Oreochromis niloticus: one gene and its partners. The protein of the gene in region 2 binds, or shares a complex with, the protein of the main gene of each other region. Links are inferred from orthologs where the notes say so. Each region holds a gene or a part of one and is shown on either strand. Other genes may lie near its edges. The genes, in order: ksr2, map2k1 and ksr1a.

Region 1 (7,917 bases), on a different chromosome or scaffold from region 2:
AGTGGCCCCATTACATGTTTTCTGTAACATGTGCTGTTACTATGGTTGACACTCATGTTACACATGGCCAAAGACTGCGCCAAATACTTTATGGTTAGGGCAGGTCTGTGAGCACAGCAACCCCATCCACCTGTTCAAACCTTATGTTTGCGAGAGGCAGCCAATCAAAAGTTGGCATAAAAGGAGGATGGCTTTTGTGCTGGGGTGCTTGAATTAAAGAAAGAAAGAAAAACGTGGGATTTTCTTTTTCTTACCTCTGTGTACAAGCAGATGAACCTCAGTGAGAATATCATGCAAAGCCAAACCTTTCAAAGTCTTCAGCTCGAGGATTTCTGTCATCAATGTGTTAAAGAAATGCAAGATCATAAACTGTACTACTAATATGAGTTTTTTTTGTTAACCCACCATTAAAAAAAAGTCACTGAATCCTGAAAAACATTTGCAAAGCATTTAGGTACAGCTAGCTTCTATTAACCTGAAGTTTTATCATTTGCAAGGAGGAAACGTTCTTTCTTGGAATATGGAATATGCTAAACTTCATAAGAAATCTACAGAGCATAAAAAGGGATAGTCAAAAACAGAAAATGTGCAAGTTTCATAGAACTTAAATATAGGATACGGTTGTATGCTGAAGTAAAATCTTTGTTGAGGCACCAGTCGAGGATGTTGGCTATGTCTGAGCGGAGGGGGTGCCCTGTGCAGGTGTACACTGTGTCTTCTGTGACCTTCCCGTAGGCCATACTTGTGCTCTGAAATCACAGAGATGGGTAAACTGTACTGCATGTCATCCATCGGCAGTTTGGATATATAACATATACTACTCATCGGCCACTTCATTAGATATGCCCGTTTGACTTCATCTCATCTCAGACTGGTTTCTTGAACATGATAATAAATTTATTGTATGTAAATGGCCTCCACATTCACCAAATCACAATCCAATAGAGCACCTTTGGGATATATATTGGATGCGAAATGTACTTGAGATTTATATCCTGAATGTGAAGCAGAAAAATCTGAAGCAACTGTGTGGACCAACATCTCTCAGGAATGGCACAAAGAAATAAGGCAGCTCTGAAGGCAAAATGGGAGTCCACCCCAGCACCAGACGGTGTAACTAATGAAGTGGCCAGTGGCTATATTTTGCCTGTTTTAAAACGGTCACACTGAATATGACATCCACATCTTAAACAGAGCCGATGATGAACTTCTGGCCATACCTGCAGTATGTTGAGCGATCTTCTCATGTCACCTGTTGATAAGGTCACGATACCCTTCATTCCATCTGGCGTGATGTCAATACTGTCACAAAAAGTAATGACATAATCAACTATTTTTAAATCATATCAAAGTTAAATTAAAACTTGCGACATGAACACATAACTGATGACATTTAATAAATAGAGCAATCAAAAATAGTTCCAAGTCCGTTCATTAATTTCTTCCATCTCAAGTTACATGTACCAATAAATGTGAAACAATGAGAAAATTCATTTCCTATTGTGGTATTTGTTGGTTTTTCAGGGCTTGGTACAGTTGAGAGGACAGGGTTGATGTTGCCCCCTGATTTAAACTGTTTTCAAACACACAGAGAAGCCCTAAACTTCTAAAAATTACCCAACAGAAACGTAACATAAGAACAAAGACTCTAGATTTTAAACAACCTTTAATGTGGTTGGTATTATGTCTGTCTCTAAACTACCATAAAAATAGAGAATGTTCATTTAGAAGGAAATGAACAAACTTATAAATTCAGCAGGGGATCAAATAATTATTTCTCTCACTATAGGCAGACTAGCGGAGCCCAGTGGAGGCCAACAGGTACAAATACATTTGTCAAGTTCATTAGCAATTCTGGGAATAATTCAATGAGATGTAAAAACAAAAACGAAAAAAACAACAGTAAGTGGAGAGAAAGCATTCACACATTAACTCACTTCTCCTGCTGGATAACGTGCTCCAACCGAGGGATCATCTGGTCTGGCGAAAGGGGACCAAAGCGGAACCTGGTGCAGCGAGATTGCAGGGCGGGGATGATCTTGGACAGGTAGTTGCAAATGAGACAGAATCGAGTGTTTTCTGTGAACTTCTCAATGACTGAGACAGAGAGCAAGGGTGGGATGAAAGCAGGGAAACAAGTTTAAAATGTAAATTCTGGCAACATCTTAGTCAATAAAAAAAAAAAATCCACTTTTTTGAATAATCTATCCTAAGTACTTGCTAAATGTTGCTAAGATTGTGCAGGACACTCGTAAACCACCTCATTGAGAATTTAGAATTGACAGTAATATACTAATAATACCATCCACTGTTCCTTCACCATGCATCTATTTAGAACTATAAAACAGCACTGCACAGCAATAGATGCTTTATAAATGAAATATGGAAACATTATTAGAAAAACACAGGTTGGACTAAATTTACAAAATATTTTACAGTTAAATTCAATAATTATTTCCACTCTTCTGGAAAGCAAAGCTTTTTAAATAAATATCCAGGTTTAAAAGTAGATACACTGTAAGTCAGCAGCAGCCAAATTGCCTGCTCACTGAGCCGTGTGCCTCACAGTGGGTAGTGCCTGAACGAACAGATGGCTTACCTCGACGCAATGCATTCTGGGCATCCTGGGTCATGGCATCGGCCTCGTCTAGTATCACCAACTTGAAGCCCTTCCTGAAGGACAAGATAAATAAAAAAAGGCAGCAGCTTACATTTCCACTGCACTTCTTAACTGCATGTAAAAGTACTGAGAACACTTATTTCTGATCAAAATCTCTATAAGTGTTTTAGTCTTACTTGAAGATGGTCCTGGTGCTGGCAAAACTCAGAATGGGACCTCGTACTACATCAATACCTCTGTCATCAGATGCATTGAGCTATAAAGCAAAATTAATTATATTTTAATGTAAAATGGCAGAGTTACAAGTTAAAAAACCTTTACAATTCAGCAAATCCAAATCTTCTAATGAGGAGTTGTAACATACCTCCAACACCATAGAGTTGAACTCCTTCTCTTTGTACAGCTGCCTGGCACAAGCGAGTATGGTTGAGGTTTTTCCCGTTCCAGGTGGGCCGTAGAACAAAAGGTGCGGAAGCTTGTCCTCACTGATAAACCTTTGGACTGGAAATAAAAAGAACAAATGAAAATCAGTTTAAATACAAGTGACCGACGTTTCTTTAACAATCCACATATGCACCCCCCTTGAATAGTTCTATAAATTTGAAACACAAAAGTTTTAAGCAAGTTGACTCAGTACCATGACTCATTAATGACAGTGACGGTATAACCACAGTAAACAAGCTCAGGAGTCAAAAACACTGACAGATAGCATTGAGTTTATCAGTTTATTAAGGTTTAAAAGTAGTTTGCTTATCCATAAGTGTCATGTTATACAGTTTTATAGTACTGTTATTCTGGCAGTCCACATACTTACTAGTGCTCAGAATATCTTTGTGTGAAATCAGATCATCAAGTGTCTGTGGTCTGTATTTTTCAACCCTGAAACAGGAAAACACACACACGCATTCATACTTGCGATAACTACTGAGTTTACAGCATGGCAAATAAGCAACCTCGAATGAATTTTAAAGCAAATTATTGAAACGTCTACGGATACATATGATAAGCGCTGACAAACGTTGACATATCCCATTACAGATGCCCACTTTTTAGTTCGGCATCCTTATTTTTTTTCGTAATATCACCCTTTATTATAAACAAAACGTCAACCTTACAGCACTTTCACCGCAGTCAGAAGCTGCAGGTTTTCGGTTAACCTGTTGCTGAAGTGGCACCATGTTAATGCTTGATGGACTGATAAGATTTATGTAAGCCGAACTGAAGATAAGTTCATTTCCTTCCATTTTACAAATATGCGTAATAACTAACGTCATTTCTAAATGTACATAAAGCTATCAGTTCACAGAATGCATCAGTCTACTCAGTGCAGTGAGCAGCTAGCTTGACAGTAGGCATGTTAGCTAGCTAGCAATAACTTTTTGAACCATTCTGTGATAAACAGCGACTTTCAGCTCACCATGGTAAATTTCTGGTCTGTAGCGGCGCTTTACTTGTAGAAGCCATGTATCCTACCAAGCGTGAATTTTACGCCAAGCTGAGCTAAAGGGTTCCAGAGTTTAAGCCACTGCGATTACTACTGTTGATGGCCCTGTTTGGCGCGCTCCGCAAACAAAACGTACGTCACACGTCACCACGTACAACCAATGAAATCACATTGTCGTTTTCATGGGCGGAGTATCGGTGACTCGTTCTCTTCTGTAAAAAGTAATAACGGGATTTAGAAATTGTAACAATAAAAGATACACAATATCAAACATCATAAAAACGAAGGTATATGTCTCCTCTTTCATTTTTAAATATTGTCTCTCCCATTTTGAACAATTCCTTTCCTTAATCAGTGAAAATGAAAATCAAACTCAGCAGTAGATTTTTTGTTTTTTTATCCAACAGCAAGAACTAGAAGTCTTTAAAGATGGCATATGGTACTGAAGTCTGAATCACCAATTTAAACAAAAGAAAAAAAGTATTCTGGCTATCTTGATTTTTAAAATAAAAGTCACTTGCACTAAACGTCTTGTTAAATTTTAAAAAAAATAAAATAAAGTCTACTCCTTTCCTTCTTAGATGTAGTTTGTTCACTTTTATACGACACTGACATCTTAATCTCATTATAGTTTATCTTTGTAAGCTTCACAATTGTTCTTGCAAAATAGAGTCTTTTAATATTTAACCATCTTAAAACATGACAAAGAGTGTCAGAAATGTTTTCTACATTTTTTTGCATTTATTTTCTGTTACATGTGGAATATTTTCTTCTGGTAATGGTGCTGACAGTAAAATACACATATCTGTCCATATCTCAAAAAGTGCAGTGTGCCCATATATTTATCTAGAGCCTGAATTTGAAATATTACCTAACCTTATACTTTACACAACAGGTTTCTCTGAAACATTTTCTTGATCATCATGGGTTAGTGAAAAAAAGCTGTGAGCACACAAGTACACAAGATTTTGTGTACCATCTCCTATCTCTTTAATCGTCTTGACTTCTCAGATTTGTTGCTGGAAACCTCCAAAGCATCCTGATTCCCAGGCTGCATTATACTGCATCAGTCAAGGATAATGATTTAATATCACAGCCTGCATTTTGACAGCATTCAATCCTTAATGTTTGGTTTATATATTTTTTTTTTTTTGCAATTGCTGTTTTTGAACAATCCAGTTTCTATTTGTAATGTCTGCATTATAACCTATATTCTAACTGAGGAGCTTCACTGTGATCAAGATCTCTTCTGCAAATTAAAACTGAGCACAGAGGAAGAAGAAATGAGATAAGGCACACAATAAAAAACAGAAGATTCCACTCACATGCAAACATCATCAGGCATAGTACAGAGTTGTCTAACTAGGCCAAAAATTAAATGTCACACACGAATCAATGGAAAAGAATATTTGTTCTTCCATTTAACTTTAAAGCATATTTAAATCATTTTCTAGAAATATTTTGAAGTGTTTGTAGCTGTTGACTGCAGGCTATATAAGTGTCTTGGATGTGAGTGCACACAGCATGAGCCTGTAATAAACTAATAGAATCATACATATTCAGTAAAAGGACATCTTTGTTTCAAACATGTAAAGAGGGATAGTTTTGTCCCTAACCCTAGCCTGGCGTTTCAAGCATATTAAGCTCTCTGCCCTGCTCTGTAATCTCGCGAGAACGGCCCCTCACGGTGGTGCCTGGGCGATGCGATGCTGTTGCTGTGGGTTTGATTGACAGGAAACATGTCGGTGTGGTGGGAGAGAACCGGGATGCAGCTGCTGCCTAGGGAGACAGGGAGTACCTGCATCCAGTCCGCACATCAGCACCTTTAAAACCAGCAGGCTTTTCCCCGACGCGTCTACTTATGGTGCGCTGAACAGCTTCTTCTTCTTCTTTTTCTTTTTTTTTTCAAACATACATTTGAAAGAAGTGGAACCCAATGGATGCAGACCGCGTAGTCCCGCTTGGTATCTTCATACTGTGTTTGATTTAGCCCACAACCAGAGACACCTTGATGAAACAGCAGGAACTACGAGGACTGTTGTTGCAATGGAGTCGACTCTCTCACGGCTCAAAGCCCGTCTCTAAACCTTCAACATCTCGTTTCATGGCGTTTTGCAGGTTGCTCCGTTCCGTGGGTTTCACCACGCTCCTTTCTTGAATAATCATCAATATTTTTTTCCCCTTGTTTTTGAATTAATTCATTCCTTTTTTGTTAAGTGCAGCGGAAAAAAACGTCCACTGTTCACAAAACTATGAACGAGGAGATGACAAAAAGCGAGGAGCAGCATCTTAGTTTGCAGAAAGCCTTGCAGCAGTGCGAGTTGGTGCAAAATATGATAGACATAAGCATTTCTAGTTTGGAGGGTTTACGGACCAAATGTGCCACATCCAACGACTTGACACAAAAAGAGATACGAACGCTGGAGGTAAGCACCCTTTGAGCGGAATCATCGGATTTCTGCTGTGCATCTACATCCAAATCAATATGGGGGGGTGGCGGGCTGCCGCCGTTTGTTATTTATTTCAAGGCCACTATGCATAATTTTTATGTGTCTTTTCTACGGCAGACTGCTTTTCTGCTGCCACTGCATAAATATGCAACGATTTCAGCTAAAGCCCACTGCTATCTGTTTTGTGCAGTGCAATAAATCAAGAGGCCAAGGGGCTGCAGTGAGCTGTTATAGACTTGCGCATTCTGCAGGTGGCGGGGAGAGAAGGTGGCTCTTCTCCACCAGAATAATATCTGAGGCAGCCGAGGCCTATAGGCAGCCCGTGTTTACAATCCATTAGCAATATGCCAGCCTGCGCATCTGTTCTCGCAGCCAGGCCCTGCGTTATGCAAGGCTGGCAGATTACTGAAATTGTTACAAAATATCGTTATCCGTTAATTGGCCCGTGGGGTATTCCGTAAATTGCGTTACGTAATGGTCATGTTGTGTGTTGAGATATCAGGCTGCCCTTTTTGAGACTACTTAGACCAGTCGAATAAACCCCTTACCACTGACAGGCTGTTACAGGACATAAAGATGCCATAAAGTGCGATAAGCTCACTGCAAACTCACTATAGCCTATTGAGCACTGCAGACACAGCACGGCATTTAGGGCCTATAAGAATGTTATTGTGATGTCTCATGAGATTGAAACAAATACCATTAAGTGATAAGGTCTCCATAAACTCACCACTAAGTCTTTGTGTGCGCCATCAACAGACTTTAAGTCCTAGTGGGAGAATAATTAAGATACTACGTTAACAAAATACCAAGAAATCACTTGTGAGTGGCACACACTTAATCTCATCCCCACAGGAATATGAGACTGTGCATAACACATAAACATATTGCAAAGTATTCATGTCTGAGCTGTTAAATGGAGTTTGCAAGTGCTGGACAGGGGACAGGAATGTAATCCAAGTGAAGAAATAACTAAATATATAAAGTGCAAATGCTCTGCCAGCAATGAGCAGGCTACACTGTGAAGATAAGTGTTCACTATGTTCCCTGCATGCTTTGCAAAGCGCTTTCGGTACTGGATTACTAGTTATAAGCATTATGGGGTATTATTTTTATTTCACCAGTAAAATTAGCCTGACAAATTTTTGTGAATGGATTTATCAGAAAGATTTTATTGATTGTGTCATGGTTTGACCTATTTCTCCAAACTTAAGAAGGGTAAGGATATCCTTTTTAATTTGCCTAAACCAAAAGTTAGGATATACCCAAGCTATGTGTTCAGTTCTTTTCAGAAAATTTTGGCATCCATTATTAGCATGTTTGTAGCAACTGTGCTGCATGGCTAATACCTGTATGAAAAGGACACGTTAGTTGAAGGAAAAATAATCTTCTCTCAGAAGCTG
Region 2 (7,793 bases):
TAAAAGTCTTTTTATTCTGTTTGAGTTCATTCAGAGCAGCCAGACATTAGATGTTCTATTGTCTCTTCTTATTTGCCACATATTCAGTGTTTGTTTACTTCCACTTTTTAAAAGTTGTCACATTTGTCAAGGACATTGAATTGGTGCCATGTTTCAAGATCTTGTTTCAGTTCAATTCAGTTCAGCCTCATCTTTTCAATAGCAGTTGGTCTTAATGTATTGATCTTAAGCAGGAATAATGAGCCCTTCAGTTTCTGACTGTAAGCCTGCTGTTTTAAGCCAGCAGCTTGTTTGGTCCACATCTCTGCCATTTATTCATTTCAAATACTGTCCGGAGCATTTTCTTCCCATTTTCTCTTTCATTGTTATAGGGTTTGATGTTTGCCTGCCATTTCTGCTTAGCTGGTGGTTGGCTCATTTTCCATTAGTTGTATCTTTGGCATATTGAGCTCTCTTTTGAATATAACGGCTTCATTAGTGCAGTGATAATGATTTTTTTTTTTTTTTTGTAGTTCTTTCACTATCTTTAGCTTTGTTAAGGAGATTGTCTTCTTTATTTTTGAGGTATGTGTCCAATGTTTTTGTTTTGTTAGTAAGGCCTCTTCCATCTAATGTCTTTAGAGGGTACAGGACATCTTTTCTATCCATCGATCCATCTCATCCTATTCGGGGTCACAGGAAGACTGGAGCCGAATACAGCTGTCAGAGGGAGTAAGTTGTGGTACACCCTAAACAGGTTGCCAGTCTATTGCAGTGGTAACACAGAGACACAGATTCACAGTGACTCGAACAGCCAATTAAGGAATCACCAACTAAACTTCCCCATTGTATTTTATTTTTCCCTGAAATGTTCTTATTTTGGACAGAGTTGAATACTTTCTTGTGGTCAACCAAAAGGAGTAAGATTATTTCTTTTCCCAGTCTTAATCGCCTTCATTATGGCTTTATTAAGTTAAGCCATAATTAAGTAGTTGATCTACATAACTCCTACATAACTACAGTATTTTTGTTTTAGTGCTAGCAAGTTGTTGTCCACCAGATTCTTGTAGGATCTGGCTATTGGTATTCATTTTAAAGTCTTATACAGTGTAGGATTAAGTAGTACCACTTGTTAGCCGACTGCATTAGTCGGGCACTAACAATAAGGAGGCCATCCTTCATGGTTTTCTATGATCGTGTCAGGTTTTCATGTAGTGCTGTTGTTTTAGCCAGAAGCTTGTTACGCCATAATTCCCCAGGGTCTCCCAGTTTCTGGATTTTTCGGATAGCTGTTGTTGTTGCCTCCACTGTTATTTCTGGCTTGTTCACATGTATCTTTGTTTTTTCAAAGGCCTTTATCAACTCAACATTTTCATTATGATGTTCTTCTTTTTCCCAGATATTAGTCCAAATGTTTTGACAGTTTGTTGTTTTTTTTTAAATTAAAATCTGGTATTTCCATGATTATAATATCCTCTTCTTTTAATTCTTGGTGAAACTTTTTTGTTTTTACTTATGAACTCTTCTTTTCCATTTCTTGACATTATTTCCTCGAGTGATTTCAGTGAATATTCAACTTTCACTTCTTGTCTTTTGGTTTTCTTCTTCAATTTATTTTTTTTTCCATTGTCTCTGTTTTGTTTCCTTGTGTCCCCTCCTCCTAATTTTTATGCCTAAGATGTCACTGACTGCAGAGGCAGCGGCATAAAATAATTTGTTCACTTCAGCAAGGGATAGCTTATCATCAAGCCTATTCTTAGAATAGAATAGAAGAATAGAATAGCTTTTTATTGTCACTGTTACAAGAACAGTGAAAGGCAGTTTGGCATCTCTCCATGTGTGTGAAGTACACAATAGCGTAAGTATTTACACAATGACAAATTTACATTTACACAAGAAAGATATGTACAAGTTATACATACACCTGCAAACATACACGCACATACATACATATATGTATATATACATATTTGCATCCGTACATGCATACACACACATATTTCCACATACACACTTACATCTATATACATACACATACATGCCATCTAACTAGCAGGTGCATTGAGAGGTGCAGTGTGATCAGTGATATTGCACATTGAGTGGGGTGGGGGGTGCTGTTGGAACTATACTAAATAATGTTATAATAAATACAGTTTAAAGAGGTAGGGGTGTTGTTTGCATTGAAGTATAAACAGAAATACGATTTATAAATAAGGTGTAATGTCCATGAGTGTTGGCAGTGCAGTTATCCTCCAATCAGGGTGGAGGTAGGGCATGTTTGACAGCCTGTGGGTAAAAACTTCTGTTGAGTCTGTTTGTCTTCGACCTGATGGACCTGTAGCGTTTACCAGAGGGAAGGGGGGAAAAAAGTGAGTGTCCAGGGTGTGAGGGGTCTTTAATGATGATGCTGGCTTTCTGCTGAAGTCTGCCAGTATAGATGTCTCTGAGGGGAGTTAGTGAGGTGCCGATTGCCCGCTCTGCTGCCCTCACCACCCGCTGCAGTTTCCTCTTGTCCTCCGCAGTGCAGCAGTTGAACCAGAGTGTGCAGCAGTAAGTCAGAAGGCTCTCAATGGTGGAGCGGTAGAAGTTTACTAGCAGTCTTTGGGGTAATTGAGCCTGACGTAGTTTCCTGAGGAAGTACAGCCTTTGTTGTGCTTTCCCTACCTGGTGGGAGATGTTTGTGGACCAGGTAAGGTCGGCCGAGATGTGGACTCCGAGAAACTTGAAGCTTTCTACCCTTTCTACCTCCTCCCCATCAATGTAGAGGGTAGAGTGCTCAGATCGCTTTGTTCTTCTGAAGTCGATTACCATCTCCTTGGTCTTGGCTGTGTTCAGATGCAGGTTGTTGTCGTCACACCATTGCTTCAGATGCTGAACCTCCTCTCTGTACGCTGAATCATTGTTGTTGTCGATCAGTCCTATGACAGTGGTGTCATCAGCAAATTTTATAATGGTGTTACTGGTGTGGATAGGTGAACAGTCATGGGTGAAAAGTGAGTATAGGAGGGGACTGAGGACACACCCCTGTGGGACACCCACATTCAGAATGAGGGTGGAGGAGGTGTGCTCTCCCATTCTTACGTTCTGGGGTCTGTTGCTCAGGAAGTCCAGTATCCAGCTGCACAGTGAGCTGCTGAGTCCTAAGTTGCTTAGTTTATTAACCAGTTTGTGGGGTTGAACTGTATTGAAGGCAGAGCTGAAGTCCACAAACAGCATTCTCACATAGGTGTTACTACAGTCCAGGTGTGTGAGGGCTGTGTGAAGAGCTGTTATTATGGCGTCCTCTGTCGACCTGTTTGCCCTGTATGCAAACTGGTGTGGATCGAGGTTTGCAGGGATGGCAGCTTTAATGTGTGACATGATGAGCTGTTCGAAACATTTGGCAATTATGGGTGTTAAAGCAACTGGACGATAGTCATTCAAGCAGCTCACTGTGTTCTTCTTGGGCACTGGAACGATGGTGGCTGACTTAAGGCAGGATGGTACTACAGACTGTAGCAGTGAGAGGTTGAAGATGGTGGCCATGATTAATAGCCATGGCTATTAATAGCCATTAATAGCCATGATTGCTCTATTAGTTATTTGTAATGCTGATTTTGCATGCCTGTCACATTTAATCTTTAGCATTAGTGGTCTTTCATCAGTGTTTCTTTTACAGTCTCCCATTTTCTCAGTATGTTGTTTACCATTTCCTCTACTTTTTCATCAGCACTGTGTTGCATTTGGGTGGTCTGATTCATTTGGTTGGTTTACTTCATCGCTCTGCTCATTTTCCTCAGCACTTAATGCTGCAACATTGTTTTCTTGGTGATTCACATCTCTTCCCCGCTCTTGAGATGCTTCATCTTTTATCCTTTGAATTTCAGTCTCTGTCAGTCTCGTTTTTAATAACGTCCCTTCTGTTGTTTGCAAGGTTATTAGTGGTCATATGAGGTCTTGAAATACACTTCCATCACATATTTTTACTTTTTTTGTCACCATTTAGTTCTAGCTGGTTTTTGATGGTTTTCAGGGAGTCCATTTTGTGGGCCCTCATAAGCATCATACTTATTGCTTAGTGGGGTGATTGTCATTTGCTTGCTGGTTAGAGTTTGTTCCAGTAGCAGACTGTGTGGTTCCCTGTGGAGGAAAGTAGTCCTTTTTTATGTTATGGTAATCTATTAGGTTTTTATGCCATTTTGGACAATGATAGTCAGAGCCTGTTATGTAATATTTTACCATATTTAACATTGGCCATGTTAAATGTGGCCGAAGTTTCGAATAAAGAGGCCAGTATATGTATGAGTAATCCCTGTGAGCCAAAAACTCAGATTTCAGACTACTTTAAGTGCCTGGTTTCAGATAATTTATGTCACTGAGAGTGGATACCCCTGAAAGCACACAGCTCTGGGCCCACCCAATTGTTATTAGAACTTTCAGTTTAGGAGGGGCAGCCAATCCGAAGAAAGAGGCTAAAATGACATGTTTCAAACAGTTTTTAGGATGAAGTGAGTGACTGCATTTCTTATAAATAAAGATAATTTTTGAAAAATGCAAAGCTACTCTAGTTTTGGCTAATATGCTCCCTTTAGTGGAGCGCTTAATTCCCGCCTTCCTGCTCGTTTAAATGAAACTTTAGTAACAGCATGGTAATACCGCCTATCACCAGCAGAGGGAGAGCTGCAGCAAGCCCAGCCACGCTTTCCGGAAGACCAATGAAAATATTTTGTGACGTTTCATTCACCTCCACCCATTAAGAAGAAATCAGCTGCTCAGCCTTGCAGTTCATTACAACCCTTGCCTGTTTCTTCCCTTGTCAGTCACTGCCGATAAACAGTGTCTTCTTAATATCAGATACCTCTTCTGTATCGGGCTTCCGTCTACACTGCTGCAGCTCGTGTGTTGATTTGTTGTTGTTGTTATATATATATTTTTTTTTACACCAGCTTGTTTCTTGCACGTAACATGCAGAAGAGAAGGAAGCCTGAGCCGATCCAACTCAACCCCATCCCTGATGGAAACACTATCAACGGCAGCGGAGCCACAGAGTGAGTGTCAATATTAATCTGCTTCTGATATCCAGATAGGGGAATGTAGTACACAGATAACTGCTTTCTGATACATAACCTGATGTATGTTGGATTCGGTATGACAGCAGCCAATACCGTATGTGTGTGTGCTCGAGTACTCTGCACCAAGTATTTGAGCTTGTCCTCTACTGCAACTATTGATCACTGGCATTGTTATCAGTTGCTGTACTGAGAAAATGAAATATTTTTAAATCTGAAAAGTTACTGACACATGCCCATTAATGGTTCCTCAAATAGCTTATGTGGTTTGGGTTGCATGTTGCATTTTTATAGGTTACAGCATTGATTGATTGATTAATTCATTAGATTTACTCTTCAAGCACAATCCAAGACACACAGATACTCCGTTCAAACTGAAATAAAACAGGGAATAAACAGAGGTTGATCACATTGATAATTTTTTGGCTCTAGAAAATGCTTGAATGTTGTTAAAACAGCCACTAAATCATAATTCAGTAGACTTCAGTGGACTATTTGTTACACACTAATCAGCTATCAAATAGTTAAAGAAGTTTAATTTATAATGATGTAAAATGGAGAAAACTGGAAACTCATTTCACTTTATCATTTCAAGTGCTAAATAGCTGTCAAAATCCTCATGATTTCATTCATTTTTCCTGTTTTACTTCACATTTTCACAAATTATTGTTGTTACTGTGTTTCTCATTATAATATTTCTGTAACATCCGGCTGTCAAGTCCTCTTCGTGGTGTCATGGATGGACAGGTCTCCTTGTTACTCTCACAGCCCACTTGGTGTGATTAGTCAGAGTTAGAGCTTTCCAGCGAGGCAGCACACAGAATTATATTTCTGTCTGCTGAAGAAGTTCTGCAAAGTCCTGCTCCCACCATTGTTTGACAAAACACAGTAATGGAGACATAAAATTGTTTTGACATCCTCCTCTAGCCCTCAGTTTGCTGAGAAAAGCCCAGTGAGTCCTGCAACAAGCTGGATCAGTGGAGATGAGAGTTACATAACATGTCATCGGTTATGATGGCTGCTTTTCTGATGCGTTGTAGAGTCTGAATATATCATTGTTTCGTTGTTAGAGCACACATCTGAAGGCCATCTGTGTCTTTGGCAATGAATTAAAGACTAAAAAAAATGACACTGAGTCATGTTTGAATACCATTTTGCATTAAGCAATGGTAATTTTAAAGCAACAAGAAAGATTTTTTTTTTAATGTGTCCACTAGTCCACCACATTAAGATTTACAAAATACAAAAAAACATTAAAAAAAACAGGAAGGAATATACTTTAAGAAGTTTTCAGTAAGATACAAATTAGAGTAGTAGAAATGTAAAAGTGAGGCCAAAGGTCAAATGACATGACATTTGGATACAAACTATAATGTGGTATTTAAAATCCCCATAAACCAGTATCATTTCTTAACTGTTCCCAGTATTTGAATTTGTAGCATAGCTTGAAAGATGAAATACATTTTATAAAATTTTAACCAGTAAGACACATAGTTTTAAAAATAGCTCTAAAGATCACTATTATCACTTTGACCTTCAGATTAATCTATTGACCTTGGAGAGGTCAAAGGTCATAAGTGACATATTTAAAATCTTTACACAGTATATACAATACACTCTATATGTTGACAATACATGTCACACATGCCATAGGTGTAAAACTTATAGGGCTTTTGTCAGTTTTTGCCCAACAAATCATTTGGTTGACCTTGAAGACCTTGGTGGATGTAAGCCAAATTTGAATGGATTGTTAACATGACCCCACTCTACACCCCTACAAAGTTTTATCAGAATTCATTCAAAACCTTTTGAGTTATCATGTTTATTGATGCAAGGAATGAGACATGTAAATGCTACCAAAAACAGAACCTCCTCTTCTGATTTTTAAAGATTCAGTTTACTTTTAGCCAAGGGCAGATGTTTGACTTTAGCTTGCTTTGATGGAAAGTCTGCTGTAGTTTGAATTCTATTATACTGAATGTAAAGATCTTTTCACTATTAAAATATATATCGGCTGATAATCATGTACATGTAATCCCTGTGAACCTAAAGCTAAGGCTGCTGCAAACATTTTGTTTTTCATTCCTTCTGCCTGGTTGATGTCAATAAGGCAGGAATGTCCTTATATGGGCACAGAAAGAGCCCAAGAATCACCTGAACCTGAACCATTTTTCTTCAGTGTTCTACTTAAGAGTTATCTGCAAGTTCTAGAGCTTGACCAAATACCTTCTTAGTTGCGAAGGAGTGCTAAAAGAGAAAGAAAGAAGGAAAACTGTTTATTTATTTATACATTCTTGTGACATCAAAATGAGCCCAATGCTTATTGAGTAACTCTGATGAAATCCGTTTTGCTGTGGATGTTGTCGCTGTCTGCTCTGTTCTGGATCAGATTTTGAGCTCCAACATGTATGCAAGAATGTGAAAAGTGGACATTGTGTAGGTTTTGTATGTTGGTTTCAGAATTTCTACACTACTGATCAAGCAGGAGAACAACACAAAAGTGGGCTTTTAGAAAGAGGGGCTTTATAGGGACGGGAGCTAAAATGGCTTTTTTTCAGACTGTGAATGAAGTGAGGAGATGCATGAAGGGCTGGTGTACGATGAAAGGGGATTGTATTGAATTGTGAATTGTGTAAAGCTGTAGTAGAGTTAAGGTATGACGTCAGGTACAGTGGTTAGCACTGTTGCCTCGCAGCACATGAATCTTGCGATTGGCTTGCGCCTTCCTTTTTAGAGTTTGCATGTTTTCCATGTGCTTGCATGGGT
Region 3 (7,304 bases), on a different chromosome or scaffold from region 2:
TATTTAAAACCTGTAAACAACGGAAAGTTAAAAGACAATATACCTGTAGAAGCTTTTGTTAAAGAGAATATATGCTTTTAAAAATATATATATATGTGAATAACAAAAGACTGGAAAGTTACAAAATTCTTAAGAATGAGTTTCCCACCAGTGGAACATCTCACAACTAATTATCCTAAATAGAAACAGGACTGGGTGAAATAACAGAGGAGCTCTCAGAGCTTTTCCAAAGTAAAGTTGTGGAGTGGGTCATCAAGTTGTGAGGCTTTGTGGGCACATAGGCCAACAATTTAAAATTTTATGGACGCTTAAAGGTTTCATCATCTACAGAAGTGTCATTAAAGAAGAAAAACTGGACTGAAAGGCTAAAAGACTCATACTTAATTGATCCTTCAAGTTACACTAAAACTGAAATCTTTTTTAGGAAATCACAGAAGTTGCATTCATGGATAAAGAGAGAGACCATCTGGCTCAATAGCCAGCATCTGTGACGGTATCTGCGCACATGGTATGAGTAATTTGTAAATCTGTGAAGGTCCCATTAATGCTGTGAACAATATATACAGGTTTGGGAGCCACATATGCTGCCATTCAGGGAAGAACTTGCTTATTTCAACAAGACAATACCAAACTACACTCTGCGGGACACAACAACAAAAAGATCTCATGGTGAAGGAGTTCAGGTGAACTCTCCTGCCTGTAATCCAGAAACTGTTATCTAATGAAAACATTTATGATTGGATAAATACTACTGGGTTAAATAAATAGCCTGACTTGTGATGTTTTGTCTCACTGATGTAAAAAAATCGTGTTTGTGCAGAATTATAGAAAATTCTCAAGGGTTTACAAAGCTATGTGCACCTGGGATAAGTATCCAAACAGTGCAATGAGACAAGTGTCTTGTTAGCTGTGCTGCAGGCCTCATGGGCAGGCTTTCCAGGTCAGAGGTCGTGGGTCTTAAATGCTCTTTTTGGGGCTCACCCTCCGAAGACCTGAACGGATGCCTGCTGGGAATCCTGGCTAGCAAAGGAGATGGAATTAGATTGTCTACAGTCTAATTTAATCTAAAGCCGGGAGCTCCGTGCTGTGTGTTGTGTCTTGGCTGTCCAATAGTACAACAGTTTAAAGGGCTTAAGAGACCATGAGGCTGTGAAAGAATCATGTCGTCCTCAGCTCTCTGAGTTGTGTCAAGCGAGCTGACCATTGTACTTATGCTCCACTAAGATACTTGTGGGATTTCTTACATGATGTACAGTGTTATTTCAATGGCCAGTCATTTTCAAGTATCATTTAAAATGGAAACAAAATCTTGGAAAAAAAAACTGCAGCAAAAACAGAACACAGAGAGGAGGAACAAATGGTGAGACTGATTTTTCTTTTTTTGTTGTCCTTAGCAACACGGTACATGTTTCATGAGAAAGAGCGCAATTGAAGTAAAAACAAAACTGCTCAAAATTCACCTTTTTTGTCATATGTGAGTTTAACAGTTATGTCATTATATTTCGAAACACAGAATAGCCATCTTTTCCATTTTGCTTGGTATGTTTGATTAAAAGAGCACGTCCTCGATAAGAGAAACTTTTAGCATACTAGTATTGTTTTCTTTGTAAAGCCCTTATTACAATGATCCCTCTGTTACTGCTTTGTAACTTGATTTTGAAAGCAGAGAGGAGCTGAAATTGGCGTGGTGTCCTGCTGGCATTTCATCATCAAATCTGTGCTGTTAATACAGCAAGGCTGAATTCACAAAGTGGTGGACCAACAACAACAATAGCTTGAGAGTGAGACTTTGTGTCTGTTTCATTCCATTACAGGAAGGCTGTTACATGTACTTCTAATATATTTGTGAGAAAGTAACAGTGCCGCCTTGAAAAGATAAGACAATTCAACAAGCTGCTTAGTTTAATCGACTTACATTTTAATATTTCATATAGCAATCTAAGCTTGTCGGATTTCCTAGTAAGTCTCTTTTGTGTTTCAGTCAGGATTTAGGTCTGTCCAACTTGACATGTGTTGTTTGCGAGTAAATATTGATTAAACTTCAAACATAAAGAGACTACTTATCAGCGTCACCTTTCTTAACCCATGATTCTAAATGTAAGAACTCGCATATACTGTATGTGCATTAATAAACATAACATTTTAATACAACCAGGTTACAGATTATTTTAAGTCGAACCAAAGTTGTTCATTTTGACTTTAATAGCTTCAAGTGATTTGAGGCCGACTCAGTGGTGTACGAAAACAGCCAGAGTGAGGTTTCTAATCCCTCTACGTGGTTTTTCACTTCTGCACTGTCTGATTTCTATGTGCTACCATGTGCAGCTGATATTTGGACTGGTGTAAGACACAGTTACATTTTCCCTGCAAATCAGAAGAGGAGAAGAGACAGACAGATGGAGGAGAAGGAACAGAGGGCTCCATGAGAAGTGACTCACGTTCCATTGTATAATCAGGGTATATTAAAGGAAGGAACATCACACCCTCATTGCAGCAATAAGCCATGTGTACTGCTACTTAACGGTTGTGGAAACCTGCAAATTCATCCCACCCCCACAGATATAATATGCACTGTCCTGATATGAGGACAGACGACCTACCTCGGCTTCGACTTTGCAGTAACAAATTGTTATTCCTTCATTTCTGCCTCCATGCATTCTATGGCTTTCGTTGCTCTGTGAGGACGACAATAAAATCACTTTTTTAGTCTCATTTGTGCCAAATATGCATATAAAAATATACTAAATATCCACATATCCTTTATTCTCTGGGTGTAAAGCTCATTTTTACTCAAAGTACACCTTGTATATTTCACTACATGCAGTTATGATGTTGCCTACAGTCTGTGAGCTTGATCAGATGAACTGACGATTCGGCACTGATTCACAGTCTTTGCTAAAGCGTGTAAGGAAAGTAAATACAAGGAATACGGGAATATACTAGTCGACACTCTTTTAATCATATTGCTAAATTTCCTATCCAAATAGTTCTTCTGGTGCATCAGCTTTGCTCCACACAGTATAATGACAGTGTATGGAGCTGCAAGTGAGGTGAAAGGTGGTGATTATTCTTGGTGTCCAAAGCTACTCTGGAATTGCCCTGCCTCTCTGTACGGATCTGCAATCAGAATAGAAAAAGTGGGAGTATGCTGAGGCCTGGATGTCCTCGTAGCACCACAGCAGTATATTTTGCATTATTTTGCAGTTCCTTTAGTATCTGCTTTGCTGCCGAAAAGCGATTTCCACTATTTGCTAAAATGACCTGCTGGACTATAATCTGTCAAACATATCTATAATGAATGATGTCAAGTCATTTTGAAACACAAAGATCATTCCTGTTACAAGGTAGGAGCTATACAAAGTGATTTACATCATCTTTATTTATCCAGGTACATTGGGGTTTTAGGCCTTTTTTTGGGGGGGGGGGGGACACTTAGCATCCCTAAATTGCACTAAAAAATTACAGTAGTAAAGTAATATTCATGTTTTTTGCTATTACTGAATGTTATATTTTGCCAACCTTTCTATTGGAGTGGGTGCAGGTTACGGTGAAAACAGATTTAAATGTCCACAGTTGTTGATGTCGTGATGTTACAGTGCACTCACACTGAGGTTTTTAAGTAGAAGTAAGAGATAAGTAGTTGCGTAAGTAAGATGGGCTGTCTTTATATGGTTAAGAGACTGAAACAGCACATTTCTCCTCTCACTCGCTTTTCTACAAATAGTTCTTTAACTTATTTCTCAAAATTCTGGAGAACATCATTGAGCCTAAAGGCCTTTACACAGACACGTATACTGTATGCATTACATTATGATTGGAGGCTGAGCCCCCCCCCCCCCCTAAAGGTTTCATCCTAGAATCGCCCCTGCATTTAGGCTTCTCTACCTCTGACCCTGCATACTTATCTTCTCCCAGCTGAAAAATTGTCACAGTAGGAGAAGCACGGATATTTAAAACAACAAAAACCCTGATAAGTGCCAGTAAGCCACGTGACAGTGGATCAGCCTGCAGTATATCAAAACAGTTTAATGCAATTAAGCCGTCGTTAATTGTATTATTAATACGCTTTTCCTACCTTGCAATACAACAAAAAAATAAATTAAAATAAATAGGAGGACACCCGGATGAAGCCAAGTTACTTTAATACTTCTCAAAACCTTCATTTTCTTCATTCGCTTTCTTGCGTGAGCAACGAACGGACGACAGAGGAGTGCACGTTGGTGTAACCTATATGACTTCATTTCCCAGATTGCACCGCGCTCCATGATGTTCCCAACAGCTGACAGACGGTGGAAGCCTCTGTCAGAGCTGTGTCGGTGGAAGCTTTGAGTATCCTCTCAGTCGAGCCTCACTGGACTTTGGACCCGGGTCACCGTCGAGCACCTTATTTTGATCTCTGTCAACATTTTTGTTTGCACGGAGGGCTTCCATTTCTTTTCTTTTCTTTTTCTTTCTTTTTTTTTTTCCAGATTCGGAGCTGGGGACAATTGCTGTCAGCTAACTTCCACAATAGGTCGCTGCGTCGCCGGACTGCTGCATATGTTTGATTTATTTTTATTTGACATTTTTTTAGCTTAACACTTTAACTCCAGCCCTTCCAGCCGTGCCCAATGCCGAGGAATGGATAGTGTGTCTGCTAAAGGCGGAAAGATGGTCGAGAGTGATGAGCAGCCGGAGAGGGATAGCGGCGGTGGCGCAGCGATGGCCGCGCTACATCAGTGCGAACTGATCCAGAATATGATTGATATCTCCATCTCCAGCTTACAGGGGCTACGCACCAAATGCGCCGCCACCAACGACCTCACACAGCAGGAAATACGAACTTTAGAGGTAATGAGCTTCCCCCTCTCCTCCTCCTGCTCCCGAGCACGGGCTCAGTGCATAAGCCCCGTCCGGAGATAGAAAGCAGTGTAGCCAAATTGCGGAGTCATGAAGCCCCAGCGCTATGTCCGCCTCCCAGGCTGAATATTGGCTGGGGCGCCCTATCAGTGTCAGTGAGCCGAGCACATTTTGTCGCTTTACGGGCTACTGCTGGCTCACTGTGTAGAGGTGACTCAAAAATAAACATTAAAAAACCAAAACAATAAAAGGAACTCATAATGAAGTTTTGCTTTGTCCCATTCGGTTTTACCATCCCTCTAGAATATTCCAAAGAAGAAGAAGATCTTTATTTGCCCGGAGCTCTTCGGATAGTTCCAAACACCGTGCCGTGCAGCTGTATTGAGCTTGGCCTCATGGCACACATTCAATAGCCTCTGACGGCTGTTATTTATATAGATATATGTATATGTTCGTGTATGGCGCTCTACACTTGGTTTTGCCTCCATACAGTGGGGCCTGTGAGACAAATACAAATGTACGACGCGATCCATGTGGTTACCCCCCCCCATCCAGCAGGCAAAGGCTGGTGTGCTGCTGCTGCTGCTCTCCTGCATCTGGATGCAGATTCACCTACGTCGTGCGGGGATGACTTGACATTGCTTTGCGCGTTGCTCTTTTGGAGCAACATATCCTACTATAGCAGGCGGCACGGTGGAGAAGTCATGCCTGGTGGCGTGCAGGCGTCAGCACAGGACGCACGCTATATTGCTCTCACTTCGCATGTTTGAGGAAAATTCAAATGAGGGACGGGGGAGTGCGTTTTTTTTTTTCGGTTTACCACATAATGATAACTGATACATGCGAAACATAGTTATACATATAGCAGTCGTTTCAACAAAAGGGCCAGTTTTTTGTTTGTTTTTTTATCTCAGGCCTGGATGTTGCTGAGGAGGGTGATGGGAAGAGGAGGGGGGGGTGCTGTGGCATATAAATGGCTGATACAGACAGTATATTTTGATGAGGCTTGGAGATGTGGAAAACAGTTGAATATTACAAGTTCAAAGCCTTCAAATGTCACGGTGACATCCTGGAGACATGATAGATGATGGGGGTTTTCTGGTTCATGGTTTATTTAAAGCCTTGTACCTTAGCTAAAAGGAATATTCACTCCTGATTGGCTAGAGGCTATCAATTATCCATGTCTCCTTTATTTCTGTATAACCAAACACCCCGTGAACAACTGGGCTGTTGCCCTACATAAAAAAAAACACCTAAAAAACCCCCCTAATGCTCCAAAAGGCAAGTATTGCTTTCTTTTCAGCCTCACAGTGATACAGTGAGCTAGTTTTTCAGAAATACTTAGCGCGGTCCAGGATTGCTGCTAATGAAGGAAAAAGCCCCTTAAACCACAGGTTACACTGTGTCCGTAACCTCTTTAGAATCACAAATACAAATATCACCAGCAAGGCCGGGGGGGGTAATAATTTACCCAAAAGCAAAGGAGAGATGACTGAGCTGTTTTATGGACTCAGCTGCAGCTTTTTATCCAGTTTGAGAATACTGTATGATTCTCTATAAAATAATTTAGTTGCTCCCTCACTGGCTGACAGGCATCAGGTGCGAGTTGGCAGCTATTCTGTGCGGGAACAAATTTTTGCAGGCTCAAGTAAAGAAGCCTGGTGTTAAATGAATATTCAAATTCTTCAACTCAAATAGAAACCAAAGCAAATCAGTTTGGAAATTTGTAGTTTTTCTGTTCAGTCCCACCTGTATATGTATATGTGTGTATATATGTGATCAAACCTGGGCCTGAGCTGAGCTGGATAAATGGGTTCAAAACAAAGAGTGCAAAGCGAATCCTGCTCCACATTTTCACCCCCTCTTCATCGGTGGTCATGCGTACCTTGTTTCTGCAACAGGATGTGATCTGGCAGAGTACTTCCTGAGAAATGCTGTCATGTGGACACATTTTGCACCAGCATTGTTCTACATGACAATGGACAGGCCGTGCCGCTCTCACATGTTTCTTGAAGGCTCCTGGGTCTCTTTCCTGCGCCTATGAGACCGTTATTAGGGGGTGTCTCTGAAAGTCAGAAGTGCAAGCAGTGGATGTGGTTACCTCCAGTCAAAGTTTGCTGCTTTATAGACCTCGCAAGCTTTCAGGATCCTTTCCTGCTGTAGGATCAGAATCAGAAATTGAACAGGGAGGGGAAGGGGAGATAAAAAAGTGCATCAGTCTGCGCTTCATTAGCTGATTTTATGCCTCAGTTGTATGTGTGTGTGTCATTGTATTTTTTCTTATTTCCACTGATTCTAGCTGTACTTTTGTTTGATTGTTTAAACTGCTTCAGCGACTAGTGGGCAGTGAGCTCACGGTGCAGCTGTTCATACACGCTGCGTTGTTACTGCAAGTGGCAGCATAAAGATAAAAAAATCTGACAATAATCGACTTGTCTGAGAACACGTGACTCGTAATATCTTAG

What was found.
Region 1: the proteins of map2k1 (region 2) and ksr2 are in contact, whole or in part, in a crystal structure (PDB 7UMB), measured with the Homo sapiens proteins. The link is inferred for Oreochromis niloticus from reciprocal best matches to the Homo sapiens genes MAP2K1 and KSR2. Residues at the interface, in NP_002746.1 of Homo sapiens: Val81, Glu102, Met219, Ala220, Asn221, Ser222, Phe223, Val224, Gly225, Thr226, Arg227, Ser228, Met230, Arg234, Leu235, Gln236, Gly237, Met308, Ala309, Ile310, Phe311, Glu312, Leu314, Asp315, Val318, Asn319; in NP_775869.4 of Homo sapiens: Lys674, Arg818, Asp820, Lys821, Leu822, Arg823, Ile824, Gln825, Asn826, Ile837, Arg838, Gln839, Leu840, Ser841, Pro842, Gln877, Pro878, Ala879, Glu880, Ala881, Ile883, Trp884, Gln885, Gly887, Thr888, Met890.
Region 3: the proteins of map2k1 (region 2) and ksr1a are in contact, whole or in part, in a crystal structure (PDB 9AXH), measured with the Homo sapiens proteins. The link is inferred for Oreochromis niloticus from reciprocal best matches to the Homo sapiens genes MAP2K1 and KSR1. Residues at the interface, in NP_002746.1 of Homo sapiens: Asp217, Ala220, Asn221, Ser222, Phe223, Val224, Gly225, Thr226, Arg227, Ser228, Met230, Arg234, Leu235, Gln236, Gly237, Met308, Ala309, Ile310, Phe311, Leu314, Asp315, Val318, Asn319; in XP_011523731.1 of Homo sapiens: Asn767, Gln768, Leu769, Lys770, Leu771, Ser772, His773, Leu776, Val784, Arg785, Met787, Thr788, Pro789, Asn823, Gln824, Ala825, Ala826, Glu827, Ala828, Ser829, Ile830, Trp831, Gln832, Gly834, Ser835.

The regions. Positions count from the first base shown.
Region 1 is NC_031977.2:30,125,300-30,133,216, reverse strand, and holds the start of ksr2 (kinase suppressor of Ras 2), read left to right. Parts: upstream 1-4,887; 5' UTR 4,888-6,316; coding exon 6,317-6,490; intron 6,491-7,917. Other genes in the region: rfc5 (replication factor C subunit 5), read right to left, coding at 255-332, 620-749, 1,221-1,302, 1,938-2,097, 2,600-2,673, 2,797-2,876, 2,985-3,121, 3,435-3,499 and 1 more. UniProt on the Homo sapiens protein: Location-regulated scaffold connecting MEK to RAF. Has very low protein kinase activity and can phosphorylate MAP2K1 at several Ser and Thr residues with very low efficiency (in vitro).
Region 2 is NC_031972.2:51,630,624-51,638,416, reverse strand, and holds the start of map2k1 (dual specificity mitogen-activated protein kinase kinase 1), read left to right. Parts: upstream 1-4,700; 5' UTR 4,701-4,923; coding exon 4,924-5,006; intron 5,007-7,793. UniProt on the Homo sapiens protein: Dual specificity protein kinase which acts as an essential component of the MAP kinase signal transduction pathway.
Region 3 is NC_031975.2:7,566,091-7,573,394, reverse strand, and holds the start of ksr1a (kinase suppressor of Ras 1), read left to right. Parts: upstream 1-4,299; 5' UTR 4,300-4,620; coding exon 4,621-4,830; intron 4,831-7,304.